Astyanax mexicanus: one gene and its partner. The protein of the gene in region 2 binds, or shares a complex with, the protein of the main gene of each other region. Links are inferred from orthologs where the notes say so. Each region holds a gene or a part of one and is shown on either strand. Other genes may lie near its edges.

Region 1 (6,989 bases), on a different chromosome or scaffold from region 2:
CTCCTTTGATGTCAGTTTTTAGTTTACTGTATTATTTTAACACACAAACTTACCCTTTACACTGTACCAGAATTTCTTTATGAATGGACCAATAGAAAGTCTCCAAACTGACTTCCATTGAAAGGTAAGAAGGTGTTTTCTCTCTTCTGTATATTTGCTATTTTGGAGATATTTATCTCTCATTTTATTTAACTTCTGAATTATATTGTTTTATTGATTCAGGAAATGTTTATTTTCTTATCTTAAAACAACTTGTTTATGTTTTTTTAATTACACAACTACGTTTAACTATTATTTATTATTTACTCTATTTTGCATTGTTGATGCAACTAATTATAGTTATTTTTATTTTGAGTTATGAGTTGAGTTTTGGGGGCTGGAGAGTGGAGATGGAGAGTGATTTGTCCATTTTTGTGTATTTTAGTTTAATGTTTCTGTTTTTTATTTGCATGTTTAGGACTCTCTCCTGCGGCAGTTTTAAACCCTTTGGGTGGATTTAAGACAAATTAAAGCCTTGTGTTGATAGAAGTGGATCAGCAGAACTCACTGCATCTTCTGAATCTCGTCTTCATCCACTTTGTGCTTCTTCTCCTTCTTCTTCTCCGGCTCCACCTTCAGCTTCTTCGCTGGTGAGGGATACTGACCACTGGAGTGAGGCTCCTCCTCTTCCTCTACACCTGCAGCGTCCTTACTCAAAACCTGAACACACACAAAAATCAGCAAACTGATTTTTACACTTTCATACACAACCATACCACCACTCTTTATTGGTACATTTATTTTGCTACATATATTTTGTAGTTGTTACCACCACTGCTTCACAATTTACACAACTCTGCAGAGGACTTTTATTTTGAAACGAGTCTCCCTATACCTGATACTGAGCAGTTTCTAGGAAGTTGTCAGTATAGTCCAAAAAATTTAACCTGATCATGGTCTAAATCAGTTGATAAATTTGCTTATTTGGAGAGTTTTCCCATTTGGTTTGCTTTGTTTTCAAACAGGCACAAAGTTTAGGAGCACCACACAACGCAAGCCCAAAGTCTGCTCTGATTGGTCGAACCGCACTTTAGCACCTTTCCACCAAAATAAATGTTGAACCAGATCCATTCTGTTCTTTTAGCAAACCAGCCCGTGTTTTAACCAGTTTTAGTGAAACCATTCGTATACATTCCTGGTTCCGTAACCTACTTCTGCTGGTGGAAACGCAGCAAACCAGTTCAAAATTAGGTTTGTGAACTAAAATGCTGCCAGGTTTTACGTTGGTGAAAAAGCGATATAAGAGTACAAAGCAACCAGAGTCCGATTTAAGCAGAATAAGTAGTGATGTAGTGAAATAACTCGAAATTAAATCAGCTAACGTTACTATCCTAGTCCTGTACAGCTCCAGTATATATTTTTTTTATAGTAACTGATGCTGTGTGTCGGTGTGTCTCACCGTTTTGTCCCCCTCCTTTACGCCGCTCTGTTGTGTATGAGTGGACGAAGTTTCTCCATCCTCCTGTTTTACCGGCTGTGAAGGATCTGAGATCTCCACCCCAACTGCAGGTTCCTCCTTCACACGGCACGGATCCGCCATACTGCTCTCGGCCTGCAGGGGGCAACACAATACAGCATTAACACAACACACAATAAACAATACACAATACAGCAACTATAACACACTATAATAACACTATGCTACACTTATCCACCCTACTGCACTATATACACTTTCTCTAATTCTGCTATTTATAGGTTTATGTTTGAGTAAAATGAACATTGTTGTTTTATTCTATAAACTACAGACAACATTTCTCCCAAATTCCAAATAAAAATATTCTCATTTAGAGCATTTATTTACAGAAAATGAGAAATGGCTGAAATATCAAAAAAGATGCAGAACTTTCAGACCTCAAATAATGCAAAGAAAACAAGTTCATATTCATAAAGTTTTAAGAGTTCAGAAATAATCAATATTTGGTGGAATATTCCTGGTTTTTAATCACAGTTTTAATTTCATGCATCTTGGCATCATGTTCTCCTCCACCAGTCTTACACACTGCTTTTGGATAACTTTATGCTGCTTTACTCCTGGTGCAAAAATTCAAGCAGTTCAGTTTGGTGGTTTGATGGTTTGTGATCATCCATCTTCCTCTTGATTATATTCCAGAGGTTTTTAATTTGGTAAAAATCTAAGAAAATCATCATTTTTAAGTGCTCTTAAAAGAGCTGTATATATATAAAACTAACTAAACAAACAAAACACCACAGTGTTTAAACAATAGAAAAACACAAGTTACAAATAAACACTTCTACAATAAGGAACTCAATAACACAACATAAATCAACATAACACCAAACAAACACAGCGATAAAACAAGAAAACACAAATACAAATTAAAAGTCCTGCACTGCAGAACATAACACAATATAGAACCACCCAACACCAAACAAAGAAAATACACTAATACAAATTAAAAGTCCTGTAGTGCAGAACGCAACACCACAATATAGAATCAAACATACGCAAACAAACAAGCTGACAAACAAACACACTGTTAAAACAATAAAGACAAAACGCACTAATACAAATTAAAAGTCCTGCACCGCAGCTAACATTCACAATCTTAAGGTTATTAGTAAATCCTAATTTATTTTTTTATTAAAATACGAACCCGATCTAATAACAAAACACACGCCCTGTTTTATTACTAACCCCCGTTAAATAAACCGATATACAAATGAATTAAATCCGAAATAAACTCCGAATCTCTCATTAGCTGAGCTGATAGCATTAGGCTAGCGGTACCGGTACATTCCCGCGCTTTTTCTCACCGTTTAATCTGAGGAGAAACTTCCAGCGGCTTTTCTCTGATCCAGCGGCTCTAAAACTACAATATTAATAATAATCTGTGTGAAATTGACAGAAAATACAGCTAAAAATACCCGAAATTACCCCAATAAACCAGCAGCCCGGGAGAAACCACCCACTCAACACCTCCCAGATACTGCGCTTCGGCACAGTGTCATAATAAAAGTCCCAAAATAAAAGCGTTCTATTTATTTTTATTTTATTCATTTTAAGTTGGTTATTTAATTTAATTTGTCTCAAACAATCTACAAAATTCTAAGTTAAAAAACAAAAATAATGTAAAACTAAGGCAAAAAACTCATATAAACGTTACTGAATAATAGGGTAAAGGTAAGATAAGACAATATTTTTATGATTTTTGTTTACAGATATAAATATAAAAGTCTCTTTTAAATTTAAATTGTAACACATTGTTTTATTTAATTTCTTAATACGGTAAAATGATTATATGTATTTCTGGATGTAAATATGTGAAAAATATTAGACACAAAATAGATGTATATTTAAAATATAGATGAATATTTTATTTATCAATATACTTCAGAATGTATGAAAATGGCCAAAACATGAAGTGTGTAGCTTAATGAGATTGTGTTTCTCCCCAGCTCAAATGGGCAAATATAACTAAATAAATACATGCTAGACATTTTAGACAGCATTTACAAAGATAAAATATACGTAGATAATGAATATATCTAGCTAAACATATATAGAAAATATAGAATACAAATAACTATATGTCCATATATTCCTTTTCCATGTGGGATGATACATAAATGTAATTCCAGCAGGTATTTTCCGGAAAGGCTGGACTATCTCAGCAGGGATTCTCTAAAAACACGCAGAGGAATAATTTATAATATTTCTCCATATTTAGCCTCTGATAGCAGAGCTGAACCAGGCCTGCCTGAGTCTCCCTGGGATTCCAGCCCACAGCTGAGGGGCTGAATCATTTATACCCAATCAGCCTCAGTCAGCCTGAAACAGTCAGTCTGAAACAGCCGGTCCTCTATAGACTCTGATACAGACTGTCGTCCAAAATCTAATACAGTCAGTCTTCTATAGCCTGAAACAGTCAGTCTGAAACAGCTAGTCTGAATCAGTCAGTCTGAATCAGTCAACCTGAAACAGTCATTCTGAAACAGTCAGTCTGAATCAGTCAGCCTAAAACAGCCAGTCCTCTATAGTCTTTGATATAGACCATCTGAAACAATTATCCAAAATCTGTCTGATATAGACTGTCTGAAACAGCCAACCTGAAACAGTCAGTCTGCAACAGTCAGTCTTCGATAATCTCTGATACAGACGGTCTGATATAGTGCATCTGAAAGAGTCAGTTCGTAACAGCCAGTCCTCTATATTCTCTGATACAGTCCATCTGAAATAATTAGTTATCCAAAGTTTGTCTGATACAGACTGTCTGATATAGTCCATCTGAAACAGTCAATCTGATACAGTCTGTCTTATACAGTCCCTCTGAAACAGTCAGCCTAAAACAGTCAGTCTTCTACAGTCTGTCTTCTACAGCAAGTCTTCTATAGTCAGCCTGAAACAGTCAGTCTAAAACAGTCAGCCTGAAACAGTCTTCTACGGTAAGTCTTCTACAGTCAGTCTGAATCAGTCAGTCTGGACCGGTCTGTCTGGAACAGTCTGTCTGAAACAGTCTGTCTGAAACAGTGTGTCTGAAACAATTAGTCTTCTACAGTCAGCCTGAAACAGTCAGTCTAATTCAGTCAGTCTTCTACAGTCAATATCTGGCGTAAGGCAGAGGGGAATAAACCCCCAGTATTGAGCTGCTGAGCAGTGGAACTGTATTCTCTGGAATGATGGTGTTCCATAAAAAACAATCAGTTGTCTACTAAAGTTAGTCTAATTTGGGATGTTAATGTAGATGTTAGCTGATAACTGACCAAAAAATATAAAACAAATCTCTCAGGAGACACCTTTCATTGTTTTGCTGATATACAGTTGGTTGACAGCTAAAATTAAAGCTATATAAATATTATATTTTAGTGTCTCGTCTCTCTGTAAGTGATATGTGTATATCGGCATTGGAAGATCCACATCACATGAGGATCACATCACATCCACATCCCACATCAGTGCATCCCTGTTAACAACGGTAATACTGTAATGTGTTAAACACCGTCAGGATAATCAATATTTATTGGCAGTGTGGGAAAATGCAGCTCAGCTTTCACACTTTTTACACTCCAGATCGATCAGCCACCTTTAAACACCCCGTCTAATCGACAGACAGACAGCTCTCTGATTACATATACCCATAAACCCTGCAGCTGATCAATCAGTCTGATCAGCTCTGCTCTGCTTACAGCACTTCTCTTTATTATTGATGATTTATTAATAATATAGTAACTGTTATAAACTGTTCTAGTGTCTGAGTGTAGGTCTCTCTCACACACACACACACACACACACACACACACACACACACACACACACACACACACACAGATCAATACAGAGTATTGGCCCACTGGGGAGAAAAGCAACTTGATTTATTGATTCCAATTCCCTAAGCGGTGATCAGGTAATCAGTGTGATTAAAGCACTCTCACAGAGCTGCTGTACACAAATGAATAAACAAACAAACAAACAAACAAATAAACAAATAAACAAATAATTAAAAATAATCAATCCATAAAAATAAGGATAATAGAAGCTTATAAATAATAAACACATATATAAATAGATGAACAAACAAATAAACAAAATTAGCAAACAAATAAATAAGTAAATAGTAAAAAAATAAAAATAAATAAAAATAAATAAATAAATGTGTGGGCGAATAATAAAGGAAGTGACGTGTCCAAGAAGGACAGAGGAAGTTTGGTGTGGCGAAATTTCAATCCCCACCCGTTTTCCGCCAAGCCCCGCCCCTCTTCGCAGCGGTTGGCCAGTAGTAGCTCTCCGTCCACGCCCTATGATTGGACCTTCGCTCTTACTCTCTCCCCAGCTTGCCACACGATTGGTCAAAGCGTCTCTGCTTCTGCTCTACGGTTGGCCAGTCGACCACATTGACGCCCAGCTCAGCCGCCGCTCTGTGATTGGTTGGAGTGTTTTTGGTGTTTTTCATACTGCGCTGTGATTGAGCGGCTGCTCATTCGCTCGAGTAGTTGTGGACATGTGATAGGCTGGTTGGTGGAGTGGGCGGGTACGGTGGGCGGGGCCTGTGCGGAATGCGGGCGGGCTGTGGGCTGAGCGCGGTGGCGCCGCTGGGAGGAAAGTTGTCCCGGTGCGGGTCGGGAATACCGAGGCGGGGAGGCGGAGAAGCCGCGGTTCGGAGACTCACGGCGGGCGTTTTGTGATCCAGAGGCCGGCGGAGGAGTGCTGTCGCTCGGCCGCGTGTGCGCGCTCTCTCGCTGAGCGGAGATGGGGAAGGAGCAGGAGCTGCTGGAGGCGGCGCGGACGGGGAACCTGGCCGCCGTGGAGAAGCTCCTGGGCGGGAAGAGGCAGTCTGCTGGAGCCGCTGGAGCCGGAGGAGGATCCGGAAACGCGGGGAGCTTCGGCGGAGGCGGTGGTGGCGGACACGGCTCGTCCTCGCACCCGCTCTCCAGCCTCCTCAGGTAGGGTAGGGGGATCCCGCGGTGGTGGGGGATTGGTGGGGACTAGGACCGGGACTGGGGTTGGGATTGGGGGCCGTACAAAAGTGCTGGTGGCCGGGAGGAGCAGAATGGAGGCCGGCGAGGAGCTCCAGAGAGCCGGGGGTCTCCAGAATAATGGGAATTATACCAGAACCCAAGTGTTTTAATATGTTCTCCTCACTGAGCTTCTGGAGGAACCCTGGTGGGTGGAGAACCTTCAACAGTGGCCAACCCAAACCAGTATCCATGAATTTATTTCCTAGTTACAGGGAAGCTCCACCCAATTTCCCAACATTCTCCAGAGTTAGGATGTAAACAAACTCAATCCATATCCAGTTTTAAGACCTCCAGTTTCTGATGGTAACTCATGGTAGGTGGTAGACTGGTAGGTCAGATGGTCTCCTGACTGGGCTTACAGAGGAACCCTGGTGGGTGGAGAACCTTCAACACTGGCCAACCAACCAACCAACCAGTTGTTTTTGCTCCAAACCAGTAGGCATGAATATATTTCCCAGTTACAGGGAAGCTCA
Region 2 (8,017 bases):
AAGACCAGGAAGGCTTACCTGTTTATGTGCTTCCGTGGTACATGCCTTCTTGTATGGTCGGATTTCATCTGAGCCAAAGCCAGGGATCCACATGTTCCACTGGCGCTCTGTGCAAAAACACAGTGTAATTAAGAACTACAACCGAGGGTTTAAATGTGTGAACTTTAAGTCGAAAAGAGGACACAGAATAACATTAATGAGCTAAAAGAAGTAAACTGTAGATATTATAGATTGTGTAAAACTTTGTTTGGACAGCACTGAGAAACAGAGTTATTATAAGAAAATCTTGCTTTTCTGAATGGTATGTCAGTGTAGGTACAGTATAAACAATAATGCAAATTGAGACTCAATTACAGTTTAGAGGATAACATAAATGTAAAATTACCAGTAAAAACAATATAGAAATAAACAAAAGTTTAACAGTCCACTCACCAAGGTGCAATTGCACATCCTTTACTTCCAGTGTGTTAGACTTACGATGTCGGGCAAGCTGGCAGGCAGCAGTCACCACACTCTCTATAAAGTCATCAGCAACTTGCAGCAACATCTGAGACAAACGACAAAAAAAAAACAGATTCAGCAGGACTGTGTGTTCCATGCACATACCTACAGCAAAGTTGAAAGCATTTAATCCCAACAGGAAATAAAGTGTAGCAATTCAAATGTCAACTATAATAATAATAATAATAATAATAATAATAATAATAATAATAAACAATAATACTACAAGATAAAATGTGAAAACTGAATTTTAATAGAATATCTAATAGAGAAAAATTGCTAAAAAAAATCTTTTCTAAATGTGAATTTTTAAACATGTTTTTCTACAAATTATAAAACAAACAGTTTGAGGCATCTACCATTTGTAAAAATTGTTTATATTTAAACTGTATACATTAAAAGAAGATGTGCTAACTTAAAATAAGTACCTTCAATTAAGAAATGCTTACCGATTTTACTTCATTCAGTCCTTCAATTTACTTTATTGTTATATCTAATCTTCCTTATGCAGATTATATTCACAAATAAATAATTTGATTAAATAAAAATAATTTGTGCAACAGAGATCAAGTACCTCCTCAACATCCTCGTCAAGCTGTTCATTAGGGTCAATTTCCCGCACAAGGTCTTGCAGTTTCTTCTTGCTGAGCACCTGTGACAATCAGATAATTGTCTCAAGCATACATGTTATTGTACTTTGAGAGCTAAAGAATTATAGTTATAAATCATAAGTCATATGTTGCATTATATTATTATTCATAAGACAGACGTTTTATATTAGGACAAAATAGCTGAACAGTGATCATTTCTAATGAACATCTGGGTCCATTATTGGAGCATATGAACATAACAGTTTTGTGCTTTTGGGATGTGTACAAGCAGTTATAACTGCAAAGTTACATAAGCAACATACTTTATTGAAAAAAGTAGAGTTTGAGGGGTCCTTACCTGAGTTCCTTCAGGACTCAGTCTGCCAGCAGGCCCAGGTGTGCCCAACACCTTTCCGGGTACAGCAGTGCTGTTTGCCATGCTGCTGGTAAGGGATGAAGCTAAGGAGGCCTCCGCTTTGGCAGCGTTGTACAAGTTGAATCTGCTGGTCTGCTGTTGATACTGGTTCATGCCAAGCAACAGACAGCAGTCAATAGCCTCCTATAAGGCTGCAGTCACCTCTGTTCAACTATAACAAAAAAATACAAATATATATCATTAGTGTTACCATACCGTAGTGCTCTCAGGGAAAACAGGCAGTAAAAAAACAACAATGTTATTTTTTAAAAACTCATTGCATCAGTGAGCTAATTGTTGCAGCCCTATTAGATTTGAGTATTTTTTTATAGATCTATGCAAAATCAGTGTAAATCAATAAAAACTTCAATAATGTAAACTGAAATACAATGTATCTGGTCCCTGGTGGAAAGGCCACTATAATACAAAGGTTTAAACAATTATGTGTTCCGTACGTTTTAATTAGCTGAAAGCTCTTCTCAGTAAGCAAATGCAATAAATATGAAATACAATAAAAGTAATGTATGCTAAGTGTTGTTTAAAACATGTTTTATATAATAGATAAGAATCGACTTAACAAAAGCTTTAAATGATACATTTTGACTGCATTATATTAGTTTTATTATATTTGATGGTTCGGACTTATATATACTTATATATACGGACTTATATATAGTTAACGCTACTCTCCAATAAAACCAATAAATATTTAACAACTTGCTGGACAAATAAACGCTAATTCCTAAAATAAACACAGATGATTACTGGAGATTAAGCGGACTAAAGTTTTTAGTTAGAACTTCTTCCTCTGTTTAAATAGTGGCTGAACATCATCAGTGGCCAAGTTCAGTTTGTCAAATGTCAGACACTGAAAGTCTACTATTAGCTCACGGGCTACATAACATAACCTGGCTAAGGAGTAATAGTGAACTACACATAAGTTACATGATAAAACACGTAAACAACGTCTTTAAAATGAAGCTGGAAGTACTGATGATCTGTTAGAGATTAGTGCTTTTAGTTAAAGTCGGTAACGTTAAAGCTGAATAACATTAGTGATCTTCAGAAGTTAGTTAGTTAAATTAACTGAGCTAGCAGATGCTAATGCTAATATAATTTAACTAACCAATATAGCTAGTTACATCAGAAGCAGATCTCCGAGTCCTGAAGTTAGTTACAATACTACAGGCAGCGGTGAGAGAATCACCCACCAACGCTTCTGTTCTGGTCTAGGATAATTTTTAGACGTTTCTCTGTGTAAATTGAGGTGATTTTAACCCGCGTAAGTCTTAAACTGACCACTAAACACAAGCTGTGACCCAGCTCTTCTTCTCCCACTCCGCTCCACTGAGCGCTAACAGCTAACTACAGCCACCGCAGCGAGGCAGAGACACACTAATACACTACAGAAAGAGACCAGTACTGCACCTGGGTGTATTATTTCCTCATCATCCGAGTAAAAGCCCAAATCAAGTGTAAAATTTAAGAAAAACAGGCAAATTACAGCCCCTCCATTCGCCACCGTTGATGCGGCAGCTAAAGCTACAGCAGACCGGATCCCACAGCCCTAAACAGCGGAAATGCCCATTTACGCACATAAAAGTCTGTGAACAGAAAAATAATATACAGCTCCGGAAAAACATTAAAAGACCACTTCAGTTTCTGAATCAGTTTCTCTGATTTTGCTATTCATAGGTATCTGTTAGAATAAAATGAACATTGTTGTTTTATTTTATAAACCACGAACAACATTTCTTCCAAATCCCAAATTAAAGTATTGTCATTTAGAGCAATTATTTTCAGAAAATGAGAAATGGCCGAATTAAAAAAAGATGCAGAGCTACAGACCTCAAATAATGCAAGGAAAGCAAGTTCATATTATTAAGGTTTTAAGAGTACAGAAATTAATATTTGTTGGAATGATCCTGTTTTTTAATCAGTTTTTTTTGGCATGTTCTCCTCCACCAGTTTTACACACTGATTTTGGATAACTTTATGCAACTCCTGGTGCAAAAATTCAAGCGGTTCAGCTTGGTTTGGTGATGATCATCCACCTTCCTCTTGATTATATTCCAGAGGTTTTCAATTGGGTAAAATCAAAGAAACTCATCATTTTTAAGTGGTCTTTTATGTTTTTATACCTTTAATAGCCCCTTCAAATCAGACTTAAGCTGAGGAAATAGAGGGAACCATTTATTCAATTAAGGGAGCAATTTTCTTAAATCTAAAAAATAATTTGAACAATTTAAAGCCTTAACCATCAAATTGGCAGTAATAATTATGACTGTTTTATTTTTTACCGTCAGGCCAATTAATTAATCCTACATAAAAAAAACAATCCAGTATTTTTAAGACTTTTATTTTGTATTACGTTTAAACACTCACCACACATTTTTAGCCCCATATGCACAGTTGCCTTCATTTTATTGAGTCTGATGTCTCAAAAATGCTGAACTTTTTATGACGTTTATGTCAATTTATTTACTACGACTGAAAAAAGCAGCACACTTTGCTTTTAATATAGATTGCTCATTTTTCTCACCAGTTTAAACATTAAACATAATCAATCAGGACACAACAAGTATTCCATAGCTTTATTATACAACACAAAATAGTAATATTAAAACAAACATGTGGCACCAAAGGAAACAATTACATTGACATTCATGTAGAGCTATAGTAGGCCCATAATTCTGTAGTTCTAACCAGTCTTCATATCCTACAATGCTTTACAAATCTAACCCATCTACATCTTAAATCATTCATGGTTTAGGTTGCTACCCGCTTACAGTCAGCAAGGATACACTTTCACCAAGCAGCAGTTGGAGTCAATTTTGCAGGTAATTGTAGAGAGCAAACACTTGGGCTTTTGCTGCTTATGTAGTCCATCATGTGGGCTATTGAAACATAATTAAAGAAATGGGCTAAATAAAGAATATCTGCAATTTAATGTACAGGATGAGGTTTAGTATGTCTTACCAAACAACCCAGATATAAACTGTAAAAATCCAACCTGTTGATATAAGAGTAAAATGTATGTATGTATGTATGTGCATATGGCATTTGCCCACTGAATCAAACATTCACTTATACACATATTTATATGGGTATACATATATAACTCAAAACATTTATTTGTAAATAAATAGTCATAAATATTACATTTGAGTTCCACAAAAAATGTAAAATCAGTTAGCATTTTTGTGTAGGCATTTAAATTCTTATAGACTTTTAAAAGGTAACTGTTCTGTTACAATAGAACATTCTCTGTAGGCTGCAACACTGTAGTACTTCGTTTCCCCTAAGAACAAAAATTCTGTCCATCTAACATGATGTTTTGTCCCCAATAAGAAGGAATACAATGTGCAGTATGTTGTGCTTTCTCCTCATTTTTCTCCCCCATCTGTGAAAACATCCTTTCTATGAAACTGCTGGGAACTTAAGCTCGGAGAGTTCTGAGTCTGGGGAGCTACTGCCACTGCGGTCACTGTAAGTGTCTCTGAAAAGAAACGGACACAAAAAAAATCATCATATTATCAACAAAACTTCAATGTCCTGCCCACTACGGGAAACCCCTTCCTCTGAGCTTTGTAATACAGATTATACATTTATTAGTAAAGAAAGGAAACACAATGTATACTGACAGGATTCAAAAGAATCATCAGGAATGAGGCATTTATTATCCTAACGTATGACTGGTCATTTAAGTTAAACTGTAATTATTACCGTGGTGAAAGTCTGCATCCTTTAAGCATAAAGCTTTGAAGTTTTCCTGCAGCTGCCAAAAGTAGCCCAAAATAGGGAGGTGAAGGCTTAATGGGACGAGAAGTGAACTCTGGATGGTACTGCACTCCCACAAAATAAGCATAATCTGCCAGGACAAAAAGTTTTATATTATACTCTTGATGGCCTCTTTTACAAAAGATGGCAATAAAGTACCAAACTTTTTTTTTACCAACCTTCAAGTTCAATGACCTCCATTCGCTGCCCCTCCACATCCTGGCCCACAAAATGCAGCCCCTTCTCCTCAAAGTAGTGTGTCAGTTCTGGATTCACCTGGGGAAAAGTAATGCAAAAAAATAAAGTAATATGATTAGTAATTTTTTACTTATTATTTTTTACATGCAACAGATGTTAGAGTTTATAAATATCTGTTTATTATTTATAACCTCAAAGCGATGTCTGTGCCTTTCATCAACATGTTCAGCATCTCCATACAATTTTCCTAAAATATAAAACCAGAAAAATCCACTTAAATAATATTAAGATTCTTCATTTTAGCATCCAACAAATAAATATATAACATAAATTATAAATATGATACATAATGCTTCTGCTTTAAGGACTCTAAAGAACTTACTCAGAATGCTGGTGTTACTTTTAAAGATGGTTCTCCTCTTCCCTAATCTCATAGTGCCACCCATTTGTCCTGGGTTATGTTCTGGCATGTCAATCACCTGCAATAATGAACAAGAGACCACTATAGTCTAGATCATGCCAATAGTGGTATCATTTATTGTATGTATTAGTGTAAAAACATGATACATACTACAGGATGCTTTGTTTCAGGATCAAATTCAGTTGAGTTGGCATCTGTCCAGTCAAACAAAATCAATATAAGCTCTACATCTTACTTTTATTTAACATACTCATGTGGTTTCTTTGTCTGCTTACCTTGCCAGCCAAGCACGTTACGTGCAAATTCACACACAGCGAGCTGCATGCCCAGACAAACACCTGCAAACCACAACGTTTGTATTTAGCGTGAATAAGGCAGCATATATTAACTGAGACAAGCCAAACACTATGTAAACTACAGAAATACAGGACAATCTTTAGAACTGTGATTTATCTTTTGGTTATTCTTAGATTTGCTGTAAGGGCCTTACAAATAAAGTCATATAACGTGCCTTCTTACCTAAAAAGGGCTTTTTCTGCTTCCTTGCCCAACTAATAGCCTGGATTTTCCCCTCTGTGCCCCGTACCCCAAATCCTCCAGGTACCAAAACACCACTAAAACATAAATAAATGACCACAAGAAAAAAGTGTCACATTCAAACAGATTAATATTAATAGAAATGCTTTAAATTTAGCTTTTAATAAAGCTATACAATTAATACAAAAATCTAAACACTTTTCAAGAAGGATAGAAACAAAAATATTAAATAAACATATGAAATTTCAGTTTTTTTGTGTTTAGTACAATTAAAATATTTGTAGTCATTTTCCCAACCCAGACCAAAGCCAAGGCTAGACTAATGAAAATTCCAATTGATATTCACCATTTGACACTGCATTCTAGTCAAAGAATTGGCTTAATCAATGTCCAAGAAAATGCTTTTATGTTCCGAAGATAGGTTTTCATTTGGCAACATTATTGATTAGTATTGAGTGTTGTGGTGCTACACTTGGTATTAGTATCAAAATGCTGGTGTTGTGAAAATCCTTGTACTTTGTAATGCCTGAGAAGTGCTGACTACTAATATGACAAGCCGTTGCACTCACTCAGCACTGCAGAGTTTTTGCCAGGCTTCATGGTACTTCACTGGCTCTTCCTGCTGTGTAGCTTGCTCTAGGTCAGCAGAGTCAATGTACTGAAACAGAGAACAATTTCTAAATACTCCTAAAACTCGAAAGTGTATTTAGTGAAAGAAAGAACACAAAAGGCACTATGGTCCAAAAACATTTACATTGCAAAGAAAATCTTAATCAATTTTAACATTATGAACACCATTAACAGAGGAAGTCATTCCCCAATAACACTTCTTACTTTGACCTCTAGCTTGTGGTTGATTGCAAGGGCAGAATGCTCAAGTGCTTTAATGACTGAAGCATAGGAGTCGGAAAACTTGGTGTACTTTCCCACCAATGCAATTGAGGTGTGTTCCAAGAGCCGGTCTGACCTGTCAAAAAATATAGCCACACTAAAGCTCACTACATTAACATAGTGCAGACTTAGCACTGCTTTAAATAAGATGCTAAAGACCTTTACCTATCTGACATTTCTTTCCACTTGGTGAGCATTCTTCGAGGCCTCATCTCAATGGGTAGGTCTAGTCTTCGACAAAAGTAGTCCACCATGCCCTGATCCTCCAGAAGCAAAGGAACTCTGTAGATTGAAGATACATCATGGATGCAGATAACCTGTAAAGAAAATAAAAGTACAATATATTTAAAACCTTTCACGGCAATATGGAACCATTACTGTCTTTTTTGAAGTATTAGGTCCAGTTCAGTTACATCCATTACAGATACCTGCTCTGGCTCCACATGACAAAACATGGAGATTTTTTCTTTTACTGCAGTATCCAGAGGTGTGGAACAACGGCAAACAATCTAAAAAAAAAAAAAAATGAATATAAAGATCTCCTGTACCTTATGCCCCCAAATAGTTCTTTGACATTCCCTTGGAATAGCTACGCCCAGAATGTCTAATCAATTTGCTATCATTTGTAATCAAAAAAAGACTTGACGATTTTATTTAAAGTTATCTCCATTTTTGTTGTATTTT

What was found. Proteins that work in one complex are often made in the same cells at the same time.
Region 1: taf12 (region 2) and taf11 share a complex: the UniProt entries of both Homo sapiens proteins name them as parts of the TFIID basal transcription factor complex. The link is inferred for Astyanax mexicanus from reciprocal best matches to the Homo sapiens genes TAF12 and TAF11.

What each region holds. Positions count from the first base shown.
Region 1 is NC_064420.1:51,847,911-51,854,899, reverse strand, and holds the start of taf11 (transcription initiation factor TFIID subunit 11), read right to left. Parts: upstream 3,016-6,989; 5' UTR 2,818-3,015; intron 1,592-2,817; 5' UTR 1,580-1,591; coding exon 1,439-1,579; intron 700-1,438; coding exon 548-699; intron 1-547. UniProt on the Homo sapiens protein: The TFIID basal transcription factor complex plays a major role in the initiation of RNA polymerase II (Pol II)-dependent transcription.
Region 2 is NC_064413.1:33,269,434-33,277,450, forward strand, and holds the start of taf12 (transcription initiation factor TFIID subunit 12), read right to left. Parts: upstream 3,090-8,017; 5' UTR 2,935-3,089; intron 1,679-2,934; 5' UTR 1,621-1,678; coding exon 1,450-1,620; intron 1,154-1,449; coding exon 1,076-1,153; intron 548-1,075; coding exon 433-547; intron 108-432; coding exon 19-107; intron 1-18. Other genes in the region: ctps1b (CTP synthase 1b), read right to left, coding at 4,927-5,005, 5,233-5,377, 5,466-5,562, 5,676-5,731, 5,867-5,963, 6,056-6,099, 6,181-6,243, 6,425-6,519 and 4 more. UniProt on the Homo sapiens protein: The TFIID basal transcription factor complex plays a major role in the initiation of RNA polymerase II (Pol II)-dependent transcription.